2 linked regions of the Caenorhabditis elegans genome follow. The protein of the gene in region 1 interacts with the protein of each later gene in a pairwise test. Each region holds a gene or a part of one and is shown on either strand. Other genes may lie near its edges.

Evidence for each region.
Region 2: the proteins of C13G5.2 (region 1) and ubxn-1 interact in a two-hybrid assay, tested with the Caenorhabditis elegans proteins (one large-scale study listed by BioGRID).

The regions. Positions count from the first base shown.
Region 1 is NC_003281.10:8,614,437-8,621,128, forward strand, and holds C13G5.2 (uncharacterized protein), read right to left. Parts: upstream 4,027-6,692; 5' UTR 4,003-4,026; coding exon 3,958-4,002; intron 3,913-3,957; coding exon 3,820-3,912; intron 3,569-3,819; coding exon 3,476-3,568; intron 3,423-3,475; coding exon 3,357-3,422; intron 3,313-3,356; coding exon 2,847-3,312; intron 2,798-2,846; coding exon 2,582-2,797; intron 2,509-2,581; coding exon 2,432-2,508; 3' UTR 2,338-2,431; downstream 1-2,337. Other genes in the region: Putative ATP-dependent RNA helicase rha-2, read right to left, coding at 1-4, 48-120; C06E1.11 (uncharacterized protein), read right to left, coding at 1,013-1,401, 1,459-1,774.
Region 2 is NC_003279.8:2,430,478-2,437,509, reverse strand, and holds ubxn-1 (UBX domain-containing protein 1), read right to left. Parts: upstream 3,509-7,032; 5' UTR 3,500-3,508; coding exon 3,288-3,499; intron 3,231-3,287; coding exon 2,958-3,230; intron 2,906-2,957; coding exon 2,659-2,905; intron 2,618-2,658; coding exon 2,494-2,617; intron 1,979-2,493; coding exon 1,935-1,978; 3' UTR 1,819-1,934; downstream 1-1,818. Other genes in the region: F23C8.14 (Lon proteolytic domain-containing protein), read left to right, coding at 426-518, 826-960; tipn-1 (Protein TIPIN homolog), read left to right, coding at 3,901-3,979, 4,031-4,098, 4,147-4,251, 4,295-4,556, 4,613-4,800; F23C8.8 (Protein kinase domain-containing protein), read left to right, coding at 4,929-4,975, 5,397-5,713, 5,791-6,095. UniProt on the Caenorhabditis elegans protein: Ubiquitin-binding protein which acts as an adapter for ATPase cdc-48.1 and/or cdc-48.2, conferring substrate specificity.

The DNA.
Region 1 (6,692 bases):
TCGCCTGAAAGTAAATGTAAGCGATAAATTAATTTTCGATTAAATACCCGGCACAATCATCAACTCGTTCGCGTCGTAGTCTTCCGAAGCATTATCTTCTTTTGTTTTGCGTTTTCCCATGTTTTTAAATTCTGTAATAATGAAAAAATAACATTTTCTGGCTCGAAGCGTGGTTATAAACAAATTCAGAAAGAAAAATAATATGAAAAATGAGCGAAAAATTCAGTAAAATGAGTTTAATGCAAGTGCGCTCTATCGAAATTGAAAATGTTTTAATGGCGGAGATTTGAATAAAGGTTTTCAGTGTAGCAAATTTTAATAAATTTCAATGTATTTGGAACATCTGTATTTCAATGTATTTGGAACATCTGTATAGTTTTTGACATGTTTCACATGTAGTTCTGTACGAATCATATTCTGCTTGATCCATAACAGCTTCTGCTGCTTTACCACTACCATATCCACCACCAACTCCACCTGTGATACCACCCACAATCCCTCCAACAATAGTTCCAATTCCTGGACAAATTGCAGTTCCAATTGCAGCACCTTAAAATATTCAGCTTCTTCAAAATTTCAGATTTAAATGGAAAGAACACCTGCAAGTGCTCCACCAAATCCAATACCGTACGTGGCTACTGTAGTGGTCACTTTCTTAACAGTATTCCTACTTGTCCCTCTCCTTTTATCTTTTTCCACGTTTTTCCCAATTTGATAAGCATCGTATTCAACTGCAGCAACTTGTAAAACTGGAGCAGCTTGCGCGATCGTTGTGAGACCCTCTCCGCCAATTGTTCCAGCTGTTTGAGCTCCAGCTGATGATATGTGAACTGCTGCACCAGCTGGATCTTGAGTTAACTAAATTGTTTCTGTGAGCATTGTTAATAATTGTTCCATACCATGTTCCCTTCATCTTCTTTCTTTTTCTTTTTTCTCTTTTTATTTCTCTCATTTGAATTTTCATCTGCACTTCTTGCCATTTCAATTTGAGTGTTTGTTTTCTAGAAATAATTTATTTATGATTCAAAATCTTGTTGAGACACGCGAAAATGTGAAGATAATAATAACAAAGGTAAGAATTAAATGCATAATTTGAAGTTTGAGATGGACTTTGAATCTTTTCCGCCAAAATTGCACATAATTTGGTAGCAGCGTCGTTGCTCAGAACAATTTGAAGTTGGCAGCTACAAACTCCTTGTGCTTCTTCGTACTTCTTCCAATCATAATCTTTTCCACATTCTTTACAGGTTAACGTTGTGACATCATATTTCACGTGAGTTAGAATTTGTTCTGAAGCTGTCTCGGCAACATGTCCACCGAATAATCCCCCGGCAATTCCACCAATGATTCCTCCGAAAATCGTTCCAATACCAGGAAAGATTGCCGATCCGATGGAACTTCCTGTAATAAAGTTTTTGTAAAAAATTCTACTGAATCTTTTAAAATTACAACACTTACCGGCCAATGCTGCAGCAGATGCACTTGCATAAGTTGTCGCCGTGGTTGCCACTGTTTTTATAGTATTTCGTGTGGTTCCGTGATGATAATCCTTCTTAACCTCTTTTCCAACTTGATACATTTCGTAAATCACAGCGGCAGTCGTCAAAATTGGAGCAATTTTATTTGCTTTCTCAGCAACATCTCCAAGAACTCCAGCAGTTTTGGCAGTGGAGAGATAGGAAGATGTGGATCCTTGAGTCCAGTAACTGCCTTGTTGATGTTGATGTGATGGAAATCCACTTTTCCATGAGGGCGATCGAATCTGATCCACCATTTCGGATTTCCGCGAGAAGATATTTTAGTTTTGTCGAAAATGTTCAAAATATTTGATTTTCTACCCGAGGTTTTAATCAAATATTTGACCGCATTTCTTCTTATTGCAGTGACGCCTCCTTTTATTCCATATTCAGTCGGATTATTCAGAAAATTTGAGTATTCAATTTTAACAAAGAAAAAAAGGTATATGTTCAACTTTTATAATTCTTCTTAAAAAAAGATTCCTTTTTAGAAAAGGAGATTTTAAAACTCACCGATTTACCACTTTGATCATTTGTTGTGGGTTTCCCTTTATTGTCGTTTGAACTACTCATATTTCTGGAAAATGTAAATTTAGCAAAAATAATGTGCACAAAATTGAAAAGTGTTCGCAGACCGAAAATCGAAAGTTGCTATTTTATTTAGGCTGAGCTAATAGACGTTGTCCAAAAGGATTACACACTATTGTTTCTCACATTTCGTCGTCTCCGTTCTTCAGATCGCCGATAATTATCGATTATTCTCTCACGTGTAAATATTTTCAGGAAATATTTGGCACACCACACTATTAATGAAATGTCAATTTAAACTAAATTTCAAACAATTTATTAGCTTATGGGTGCCAAAGTGAAAATGTGAAGATAATAAGAATAAGAGTGAAAATCGAATATCGGAATTAAAAATCATGATTTGTTTCGAGCTTTTTGAACCAATAATCCACGGAATCCTGCCTCTTGTTGTTGAATCTTGTACCTGAAAAAGTACCAACTTATGATTTTCGAAAATGCGTTTTCCATTAAAATTGTTTTATCAGAATAGCACTCACAACAGGTTCCTTCAATCTCTTGATACTTTTTCCATGTGTATTCTTCATCACATCCATCACAAACGAACGTTACAACGTCCCATTTAACATGATTCAACGCATTTTCTGTTGCCACGTGACTGTAGTGACCACCAAAATGTCCACCAACAATTCCTCCGACGACAGCCCCGAAAATCGTTCCTAATCCGGGAAAAATTGATGTTCCAATCACACTTCCTGTAAAAAAACAATTAAATGAAAATAAAAACCGAGTAGAAATAAATACCAGCATAAGCTCCAATGGATCCACTGGAATAAGTTCCACTCGTCGCAGCCAATGTTTTGATTGTATTTCTTGTCGTCCCATGATTCATATCCTTGTGGACTTCTTGTCCAACTCGGTAGGCTTCGTAGATCATTGCCGCTGTCGTGAGCAGTGGCGCGACATCATTTGCTTTTTCTGCAACTTTTCCAAGCACTCCAATAGTTTTGGCAGTAGTCGGTGTGAGTGGAATATGAGGATCCTTCAGTCCAGTCACTGCTTTGTTGATGTTAATGTGATGGAAATCAACATTTCCATGAGGTCGGTCGAATCGGATCCACCATCTCGGATTTCCAAGGCTCGATTTGTTCGTTTTGTCGAAGATGTTTAGAATATTTGATGACCGTCCGACTGTACTGATCACGTAGTGACTCGCATTTCTACTCAGTGCAGCGATTCCTCCTCTGAAGCCGTGTCCAGAAGGTTCCAGCTGAAAAGACAAAAAAATACTCTTTTCAGAAACAAAAGCGTTACCTCTTCGTTTTCTTCCGATGAGCTATCATACCAGCTTCTTGCATTTTTCGCAGCTTCAGAAATAGCCTACAATAAAAAGTATATGTTTGAAAATTATATTTATTTACAGGGTAACTTACCGATGTTGCCGTTGATGCAGTTTCCGAATTCCAAGCGGAAGTTGCCGCTTCTCCGATCGATTTCGTGGCAGACGTCGAAAAATCCTTCACGGTCTATAAACATTTTTAATGAGAATTTTTGAACAATTTGAATTTCATATTTCGCTTTTTTTTGCAATAAGAAAAAGAAAACAACATTTAAAATCTATTCATTCGTTTTTTAAAATTATATTTCAAAAATAATTTTTTTAATTACTGTAATTACTGGAAAGGCAAATTTCTCTGAGAAATGCCTCAATACGAAAACGCATTTTTGTTATTTCTATTTTCGATTTTTTTTTTCAATGAAAATTGTATATGCTGACCGCTGACGTCGATGCGGCAAACTCCGAGTTCCATGCAGATGTGGTGGCATTATTAATTGATGTAGCGGCAGACGAAGAGAAATTTTTCACGGACTGCAATAATATATTATCGTTAATTGTAATAAAATGAATTATTACCGTCCAATATCCATTAACTTCGGGCTTTTGTTCGTCGGAGCTCATTCTGAAACAAAATTCATTGATGTTGAAAAATAGCTTTTCAAAGAGAGAACCAAATGTGTAAAAATCGATAACAACGAGGGGAGAGACAAAATGAAATTGTGAAAGTTAACATTAGCAAGGTGAGATCGATTCAGGTCGTTTGATGAGGTGCAGATCAACGAATTAAATGCAAAAATAATGTAAAAATTGTTTTAAAAGCTATAATTTTAGAAAATCAGCGAGCAAACAGGAAATCGAAGAGAATAATTGGATTAAAACCCGAAATTTTCTTTAAAATTTTCTACAGTAATCTTAAAGGCGCATATACCAAACTGTTCCGCGTGGCGAGACCCATCCAAAGAAATTCGTCTCCCTCCTTCTTAATTTTGACAAGATTACGGTTTATATTTTCTGAATTAGTATTAAAATGTTAATTCACTTTTAAATGAAATTTGATTTATAAAAAGGCCTTTGAAAGCTTGTTGTTCGTTTGATAAAACAACTTTGAATTGGGATTGATGAATGAAAACTTTAAAAATGAAAAACCAAACGTCCGGTTTTCAAGCCTGAGTTACTGTAGCTTCTTTCTTAAAACATATTAAGCTCCCTGTATGTTTATTTACTTTTACCTTTTCCTCGCCGCTTTCATACTTATCTCGTGAAAATCAAATTGTTGAAAATTCTCAGTCATTCCCCGTCTCCTTTTTCTTATCCGCCTTCATTTTAATTAATTGTGTTGCGGCAAATTGGACTCAACAAATCAGTTGCCTCAATCTGAATGCCCCGTTTGACACAATTAAAATACCTATTTTGGCGGTGCGGTACGTGTGAAGATTCTCTCATTAAAGGGGAAATAACATCCAAATCGCAAGGGAATGTATTCAGATTAATATCTACCGTATCGATCCGGAGAGAGACGAGCATTCTGCATGTTAAAATAATTGAAAGGAAGGTTATGGTGGATGATTGATGAGATGTTTGAAAATGGTGAGATGTTTGACAAGAAGTTGCGCAATGTTTACGTTGAGCTTGTCCATATTATACGTCAAGCCGGATATGACACCCAGAGGATCAGGATTACTGTAGTTATTTATATTTGCAGATTTTATTAGTGTCTCACACGTGGATATATAGCATGGATATTAATTTCAGAAACAAATAATAAAATATGTGTTTTTTTTTTCAAAAACGCATTCAATTTGGGTTTTTTAAAAATTTCAGTCAATCTTTTGGTAAATTGCCAAATTGTCCAAAAATGTAGACTTTTGAGAAGTATCGAGCAATGCTACAGGTTCTAACTACTGGAATTTTCATACAAATATTTGAAACGCAATTTCAGTTAAAAAAAATTATACCACAAGTTTTTGGCCGACTTCCAAAAATTATGATCAGTGAAAATAAACTTAACAAATTTCAAAAAGTTTTACTATGAGATTTGGGTGTTTGAGCAGTTTCGGAGTAGTTTTAAACAATTTCCTTACCAAAGATACACCTTCAAAGGCGCATAAAATGTATTCGAAAGGCCTCGCCACGAGAAAAAAATTCTGATACCGTATTTCTTCTAGTACGCAACTACGTTACTTTGAAAGGATATATCTTGGTTCGTTTAAAAAATATCAATAAATTTTAAACTAAAAAATGTAGAAAAACATATAGCAAGTGTTTTGTTTTGTCAGTTGACCGTTTTTCAATAAAACAAATACCAACTGATATGAGCTGTCAAAGTTGAGCAATGGGGTGCAATTGGTACTTTTTTTTCGAATTTAAGATGCCAAGATAAAGGATAACAACAAGCGCTCGCCATAAAAATTAAAGCTCCAATATAAACTATTTTCGTGGCAAGACCCACACGATTCAGATTGTAAAGTTAATATAATATATCCTCCTGAATCCGAGACCCTTCTCCCTGTAAACTATTCTTCACTTATCCATGCACTTCCAATCTGCAAAATCTCGTCATCTACATCATTGAGAGGATTGTGATGATGAATAACGGTTACGTGTCATCGACCGTTGCATAACCTTTCCTCGCCTACCACTGTCCTCTCATCATCATGATTTTATTACCATAACATTGACTGGTTTATGCTTCATTTACGGCTGGATGCGCGAAATCTGTCTGAGTGAGACAATTGACTGATTTAAGACTGTTTATCAGAGAAGTGTAAAAGAAGGAAAAGATAAGAGAATGATGATATATGTAGGTGAAGAATCTGGATATCTGTTCTAGAAAATCGAGGTTGTTACGGTAGTTTTTCTGTAGGCCGAGATTTTTGTAATATGACTAATCTTCTTCTCGAATATTGAGACTTAAAAAACACAAAGAAAAATTGAATAATAATTAAAATGTTGTTTTTCTTTTAAGTGTTGTTTTTAAATTATAATAATACACTGCAATTGAATAATTCTAAGAAGGCCTTTTTATCAAGCAAGTCAAGATGCACCATGTGGTCTTCCAGATGAGTTACACCAGCCTTGTAGGCAGGCAGGCACGCAAGCATATTTCGATGTAATAATAAGAACGCTATGAAAGATCAATCAATTGTCATAACTGAACCAATCAGAAACATTTGTGTTCTACCGTATCATACCTGTTCTCATCCAATTAATGAAAAGATGCGCCAATTTGTGTATATGACACCCTTCTCCTTTCTATCAAAACTAATTAAGGGGAGGCCGAAAAAGGGGAGAAATGACTTGCCTCAAATGTT
Region 2 (7,032 bases), on another chromosome or scaffold:
CCTACCAAAAAAAAGGTGTTGTAACAAAAAACTACCAGGCTAAATGTTATGAAACTCACCACAGTCGTAGATCTTAACCCACAAAATCAGACAACAACTTCCGGTTAAATTTTTCTTGTGACAGAATTTCAGTGCAACAACTTTTTTCGTTTTTATTTATTTTATTTTTTTGGTTTCAAGAAAACCAAACAAACTTTTTTTTAGGAGTTTGCAAGAGATTATACCATATGTACTTCTGAATGAAAAATTATTCTTGATAACACGAGTTTCTAAAATTTGAAAAAATTGATATGCAGCGAAAAAAATTACGAATTTTGACCTTTTTTATTCACCTCATTCCTACATTTGAGTGATAATTATGCACGCAACCCTGAAATGACAGCAGAAAAATCTTCTACCTCTTCGTTTGCAACGATCTCTCACACATGCACACTATGCATTTCTACGTCTCTCATTATTTCTCGGAAATCGACTATTTGAATATTTTTCCGATTTCTTTCAGAAGTAGCCTTAAAGAAGTACATTTTAAAAAAATGAAGGGCGTTAAAAATTATGAAAACGCTTTTCTCCACTATTGCCCATACAGAGAGTGTAGTCAATTGTAGAGAGATAGACATCCCGGGACCCAAGAGGCAGGTCGGGGGAAGAGTAAAAAATTGTAAATCGATACAAACCGTTTCTTCCCTCCACTTTGGGTCTCGAGGTGTCTGTGTTTCTTCAACTTTTTGTTTTTAATTTCGTAGCTAGAAGTTTAGAACACTTTTAAATAGTACAGATTTTCATTCATGTGTTTGAAAAACTAGTACAACCCGAGCATATTTTCAGGTTGGCAATATCGTGGTAAGAACGCGTGCAGCATTTGCAAGAAATCTGAGAGTTATCATGCCAACGGGAAACATGGATGAACTGCCATCAGATTTGCGAGATCCAGCCAGAGTTTTTGGGGTTGGCACATTTTAAGAAGCTATCGAAGTGATCAAGAAATTAGCTAGAGAGAATCAGAACTGCTAGAAATTTCAATAAACTTGAATTTTGAATTTTTGTGTTTTTGTACTTTTGTTGTTGAAAAAATTAAGGAAAACCTGATGGAAAAACGAGAATGGCTGGACTTATAGTGCGAAATATTTCCTCGCAACTTTCTACTGTATCATTGAAAAATAACAACAAGTTTGGAATTTAATTATATCTCGAAGCGAAAACTACAGTAATTCTTTAAATGACTACTGTAGCGCTCTTGTGTCGATTTACGGGCTCGTGTATTTCTCGATAGAATATTAAATTAGAGGCCCCACCAAAACAGAATGCAACTCAAAACAGGATTCACCAAAACAGGATGCAAGGGCGGAGCCTATTTCGCAACAACCGCGCATGCTTTTCCCGCAAGCCTCGCACGTTTTTTCCTTGATGTTGTTGCATTTTTTAAAGAGAAAAAACGTGCGAGGCTTGCGGAAAAAGCATGCGGTGGTTGCGAAATAGGCTCCGCCCCTGTATCCTGTTTTGAGTTGCATTCCGTTTTGGTGGGGCCTCTTAAATTAAATCGAAAAGAAAATCTGAGCCCGTAAATCGACCTACAGTAATCATTTAAAGAATTACTGCAGTTTTCGCTGCGAGATATTTTGCGCGTCAAATATGTTGTGCAGTACGCAGGTTTTTATTCCAATATCTTCCAGGTTCTAATGCTTCCAATCACTCTGGAGATATGATTGTCCTGCAGCTTGTCAGAAATCTGTGGCAAGAGCTCGGAGAGCAAAACTGACGGGAATTCGAAGATCACGAGGAGATGAAGAGCCTCGAGATATATGGAGGGGAAAAAAGTTTATCGGAAAATTTTTATACATGCTCAATATACATGTTTAGTTTACAAGTGATACCAGCATTCGGGAGAGGGGGGAGAGAAAATTAGCAGTAAATTGTGGGAATTTAGTTTTGAAGATTCAGGCGGCACGGTTGAGAATGACGTTGGCGGATGGTACCAAATCTGAAAATTTTAAAAAAAAATTAGAGAATGAACATTTTTTTGGTCTCAAAAAACCAAAATTCATAACGAAACTTTTCAAATTTTTATTTATTTTTTTCGAAAAAATGGCCCAATTACAGCAGAAATCTATATATTTTAGCGTTTTTTTCGTTGATTTAGGCACATTTAAAGTCAAATTGCACCATACTGCTCCAATATTTAAAAATTAGTGTCAAAATATAGAAAATCAGTTGATTTTTCTGAAAATAATACTTAATTTAACTGAAAAATTCGAAAGTGCTCAAAAATTGCCTTACAATTGACAATTCGTGACTTCTAGGCCATTTTTGAGCACTTTTTCAGATTCTTCAGTTAAATTGAGTCTTTTTGCTGAAGAAGGACAAAAATCGAATAAAAATAAATTTCCGGCAGCTGTGAACAGGAAAAGTTGGCGAAATAGCTGAAAATCGTCCACTTTTTTTTTCGAAAATTTCCAAGTTTCATCATGAAATCCGGCCTTTTTGAGCAAAACTCACTGAGAACTTTGAGCGGTGTTCCCATATCATCCTCGGTGAACACTTTGCGGGGGAATGGGGTCATCAGGGTGAACGGAACACCGTTTGCGTGATTAGTTTCGACCCAGGCGCGGACCATTGCGAGCTGAAAAATTAATTCAAGGGAGTCGAGAATATTTAAATTACCGGCTCATTAGCTTCAAACTGTTGTCTAACAGTTTGTCCATCGAGAAGTCGGAATTGAAGAGTTGTAGTTGAGTAGTCTTTTGGCGGAGCAACTGGAGCTGCAGACGGAGCAGGCTTTGCCTCTGGAACCGGTTGGCCTGAAGCTTTTGCCTTACGGGCTTCCTTGTCAAGCCGGATTTGCTCGAGAACTCGTTTTCTGGCGATTTCGTCTTCGTTCTTTTCGCGGCGACGATCTTGAGCGGCTTCTCTGCAAATTGGGAATATTATTATTTAAATTCAATGGAAAACAGTTTTCTAACCGAATTTCACGATCTCTGGCGGCTTCTTTATGGCTGATCATGGCTTTTCCATCCTCACGACGCTTTTTCTCCTTCTCACGATTCTCTTCGGCCTCGAGCTTTGCCTTTTTGGCCTGATGGACTTTGATTTTTTCTCGGATTTCCAGGACTTTTGCGGCCTTTTCCTCTGCAGTGAGAGGCTTGATAGCTTCCGAGCTTTCGCTGAAATTCTCGTGCTTTGTCTTCGAAGCGTGGAACATGATAGCATCATCGTTGGCGAGAAGCTTTCCGCAGCTGGAAAAAAAAATTTGGAGAAATAATTAATAAGAATCGTAGGGGGGAAAAACTCACTCATCACACTTAAAACTGGCGGCTACCGGGGGTGCACCACTGTCAGCGGCTCCTGGAGCAGCTTGAGCTGGAGCATCTGTCTCCATTGGTACACCGGCTCCGTCCTTCTCAATCCAATCCAACGCCTGATCGAGATTTCTGTTGTTTCCGGCGGCGGCCTCGGCTTTGTCGGCTGGGAAGCCCATATCCATGAGTTGTTGGGCGATCGACATTGTTATTCTGGAAAGAAATGCGACAATTTGGCGAAAAACTAGATTTTTTCTCATTTTCCAGAAGAATTTTGGGATTTTTTACGAAATAAGCTGTTCAAAACAGTGATATATTAACAATAAAGTGGTTTAATTAATAAAAAACCTTAAGAAATGCGTTTAAATCAGAAAATTCAGATAATAAATGGACTGGAACACTTTTTCTAGCCAAGAACACAAAGAGAATGCTGACTTTCTTTAAAGGCGCACGCATTTAATCGATCGGGTCTCGACGCGATTCAGCCGATTTTGTCGGCGCGTTGTTTGAAAATAGTTTTTTAAACGCTAAGATTTTTGCATTTTTTTTCGTTTTCTGCACGAAAACCTAGAAATTTCGATCGAAAATCAACTTTTTTTCCAGAAAAATGGACGAAATGGAAGATTTCTTCGAAAATGATGAATTGGATCGAGAGCCAAGCCCTATGGGAGACGAAGCAATCGAAGGTATCTAGAATTTCGTGTGAGAAATCGGGTTTTAATTAAAGTTTTGTTCAGATAACAGCGGCGAGGGAGGCACTAGACGAGTCGTGGAGCCGAAATTGTTAAGGACTAAAAGACTAGCAGTAAAACGCTTATTTTCTATGATTTATTTAAATTTTTTCAAACTTTAGAATCCACGCCTAGCACTGAATGAGCGAATTTTGACCGGGCCGAAAGGAATTTCAGCTCTTCGGGAGACTTTAAAAGATTTCAAGCCAAATCCCAAGGATGATCCGGTAAATTTGAAAGTTAAAAAATACAATAATTTTCCCTTTTCAGTACGCAAATCTGGAGAAATTGATGAAAAAATACGCATACTGGGGACATTTGATGTTTCCGAAGATGAAAACCGAAGATGTTCTGAATCGAGTCGAGACACTGGGAACACGGCGGCAGGTTAAAGTTTTCATGATCAAGCACCGGCTTGGAGAGACTGGCGAGGATTCTGAGCACGAGGAGCAGGAGAATCAAAAGAATGGAATTATTGATGATGGAGCGAGTGATAATGACGATGATTTATTCAAGGATTTACCAGAGAAAGGTTGCAAAATTTATCCAAACTTGTTATTAGAAAATCAAAAAATCTTTCAATTTCAGAAGTCACGACTGAAAAAGCTAAAAATTCTGAAAAATCCGACCAAAAAACCGCTGAAATTGATGAAAATGTCGAGGAAGAGTATCGAATGATGGAGGAAGAGCGGCTGCGAGAGGAACAGGAAGCCAAGGAAGCTGCTGACGAAGATGCTCTTATGGAAGATTTCGGTGATATGAATAACGATTGGTGATAGAGCAATTAATTTTTTTTAATTTCACGTGTATTTTATATTTTTATGAACTTTTCTTTGTTCTCGAATTTTCCAAAGCGTGAGACCTTTTTTTTATCGAATAAAACTACATTCCTTATTGTTATGACATGTCAACGCCAACACTCTCTCCGTCTACAGAAAAGTTGATTCCGATGTGAGTTTCTGGAGGTCAAAAATTCGAGTTTTTCTTGATTTTCGCCGTTTTTCCAACGAATATTCTCAAAATATTGGAATTCCGCGGAAGAAAAATCAGGAAAAATTGCGAAATCGGCAAAAATTTCCACCGTACCCCTTTAAAAGCGCACGGCTCGCTTTAAAAAGTAACAATCGTGCCAGGACCTTTGAGTGAAATGAGGAGTGCGCCTTTAAGAAAGTACGGTCTTTTTCAGATTATTTCGCAATTTTTCCGGGTTTCCTGTTATTTTTCGAAAGAGAATCGAAATTTAATTAGAAAATCTGATTGTGAAATTGATTGCAAAAGACACAGTAATCGCCTAAAGGCGCATGGGCTTTCTGCTCCCTCAGAAAAACTTTACAGGCCTAGTTTGAGACTAAAAACCTTTGAATTTCTGTAGAATTGGACTAAGCGTGTCTGGAACATTCTCACCTCGTCCAATTGCCACCACCGCTCACTCGGTTGTCTTCAAAGTGGATTCGCAGCTTTATCGTCGAGAAGTGATTGTGAAAATCGTGGATCGAAAATCGATTCCGGCAAACGTGGCGGAGAAATTCTTCCCGCGCGAATTGGAGATCACCATGAAGGTTCGACATCCACATATTGCGCGGTGCCTGGCGATCACACGACCAGCGCCGACGAAATTCGTGATTATTTCGGATTACTATGAACGTGGCACACTTCTCGAGTGGATTCTCCAGAAGAAACGTTTGAAAGGTGAGGGTGTGGTGAAACACGTGCTCGCTGGCTGTCTCTTTGCATAATCTCGGCCACGTTGAAACATTTTATTCCAGAGCACCCATTAGCAGCCACACTATTCCGTCAACTCATCGAAGCGATCAATTATCTTCACAAAAGAGGAATAGTACATCGAGATGTGAAATTGGAAAATATTCTAATCGACGGAAATGGGGATATTAAGCTCATCGATTTCGGATTTGCAAGACACATTGAACGACGTGAACGGTCTCGATCATTCTGTGGAACTCAGCCCTACACATGCCCGCAAATCACAAAATATCGGCCTTATGAAGCCTACGCGGCGGACTATTATGCTTGTGGAATAGTGCTTTTTACGATGGTCACTGGAAAATGGCCGGTGCGTTGGGTTGTACATCTTCGCCTTGGCAGTTTGTTTACAAGACGTGTTGCATCGATAATGAGTTCAACTTTGGACGCTCATATCTCGATTTTCTTTGCAGTTATTAAAAAATTGTCAACTGACAGAATAATAAGCATACAATTTTCTATAATTTTGTAGTTGAAAATTTTTTTATAACTACAAAATGAACGGAGATATGGAATTCCAAAGTATAGTGAAGCACATGGTGCATCGATAACAAGTAGCACACTCAACTTTGAAAGCTCATTTCTCAATTTTCTTTGCAGTTATCAAAAACCCGTCAACTAGCAAAATATTAAAATATTGCGCATATGATTTTCTATAGTTTTGTAATTTATAAGTTTTTGATAGCTATAAAATTCACCGAGATATGGGCGGTCAAAAGTGATTTAGCCTCATGGTGCATCTACAAAATGGGTTTACTCAACTTTGAAAGCTTATATCTCGGATGTCATTGCAGTTATCAAAAAACTGTCAACTGAGAAAATGTTGAACATTTAATTTTCTATAGATTTGTAGTTGAAAATTTTTTGATAGCTACAAAATAAACCGAGATATTGACTGTCAAAGACATGGTGCATCAACCGAGTGAGGTCTCTCAACTTTGAAAGCTCATATCTCGGATGTCATTGCAGTTATCAAAAAACTGTCAACTGAGAAAATGTTGAACATTTAATTTTCTATAGATTTGTAGTTGAAAATTTTTTGATAGCTACAAAATAAACCGAGATATTGACTGTCAAAGACATGGTGCATCAACCGAGTGAGGTCTCTCAACTTTGAAAGCTCATATCTCGGATTTCATTGCAGTTATCAAAAAACTGTCAACTGACGAAATATTAAGCATGTTGATTTCTATAGATGTGTTGTTAAAAAGTTTTTGACAGCTACGAAATGAACCGAAGTATAGGCT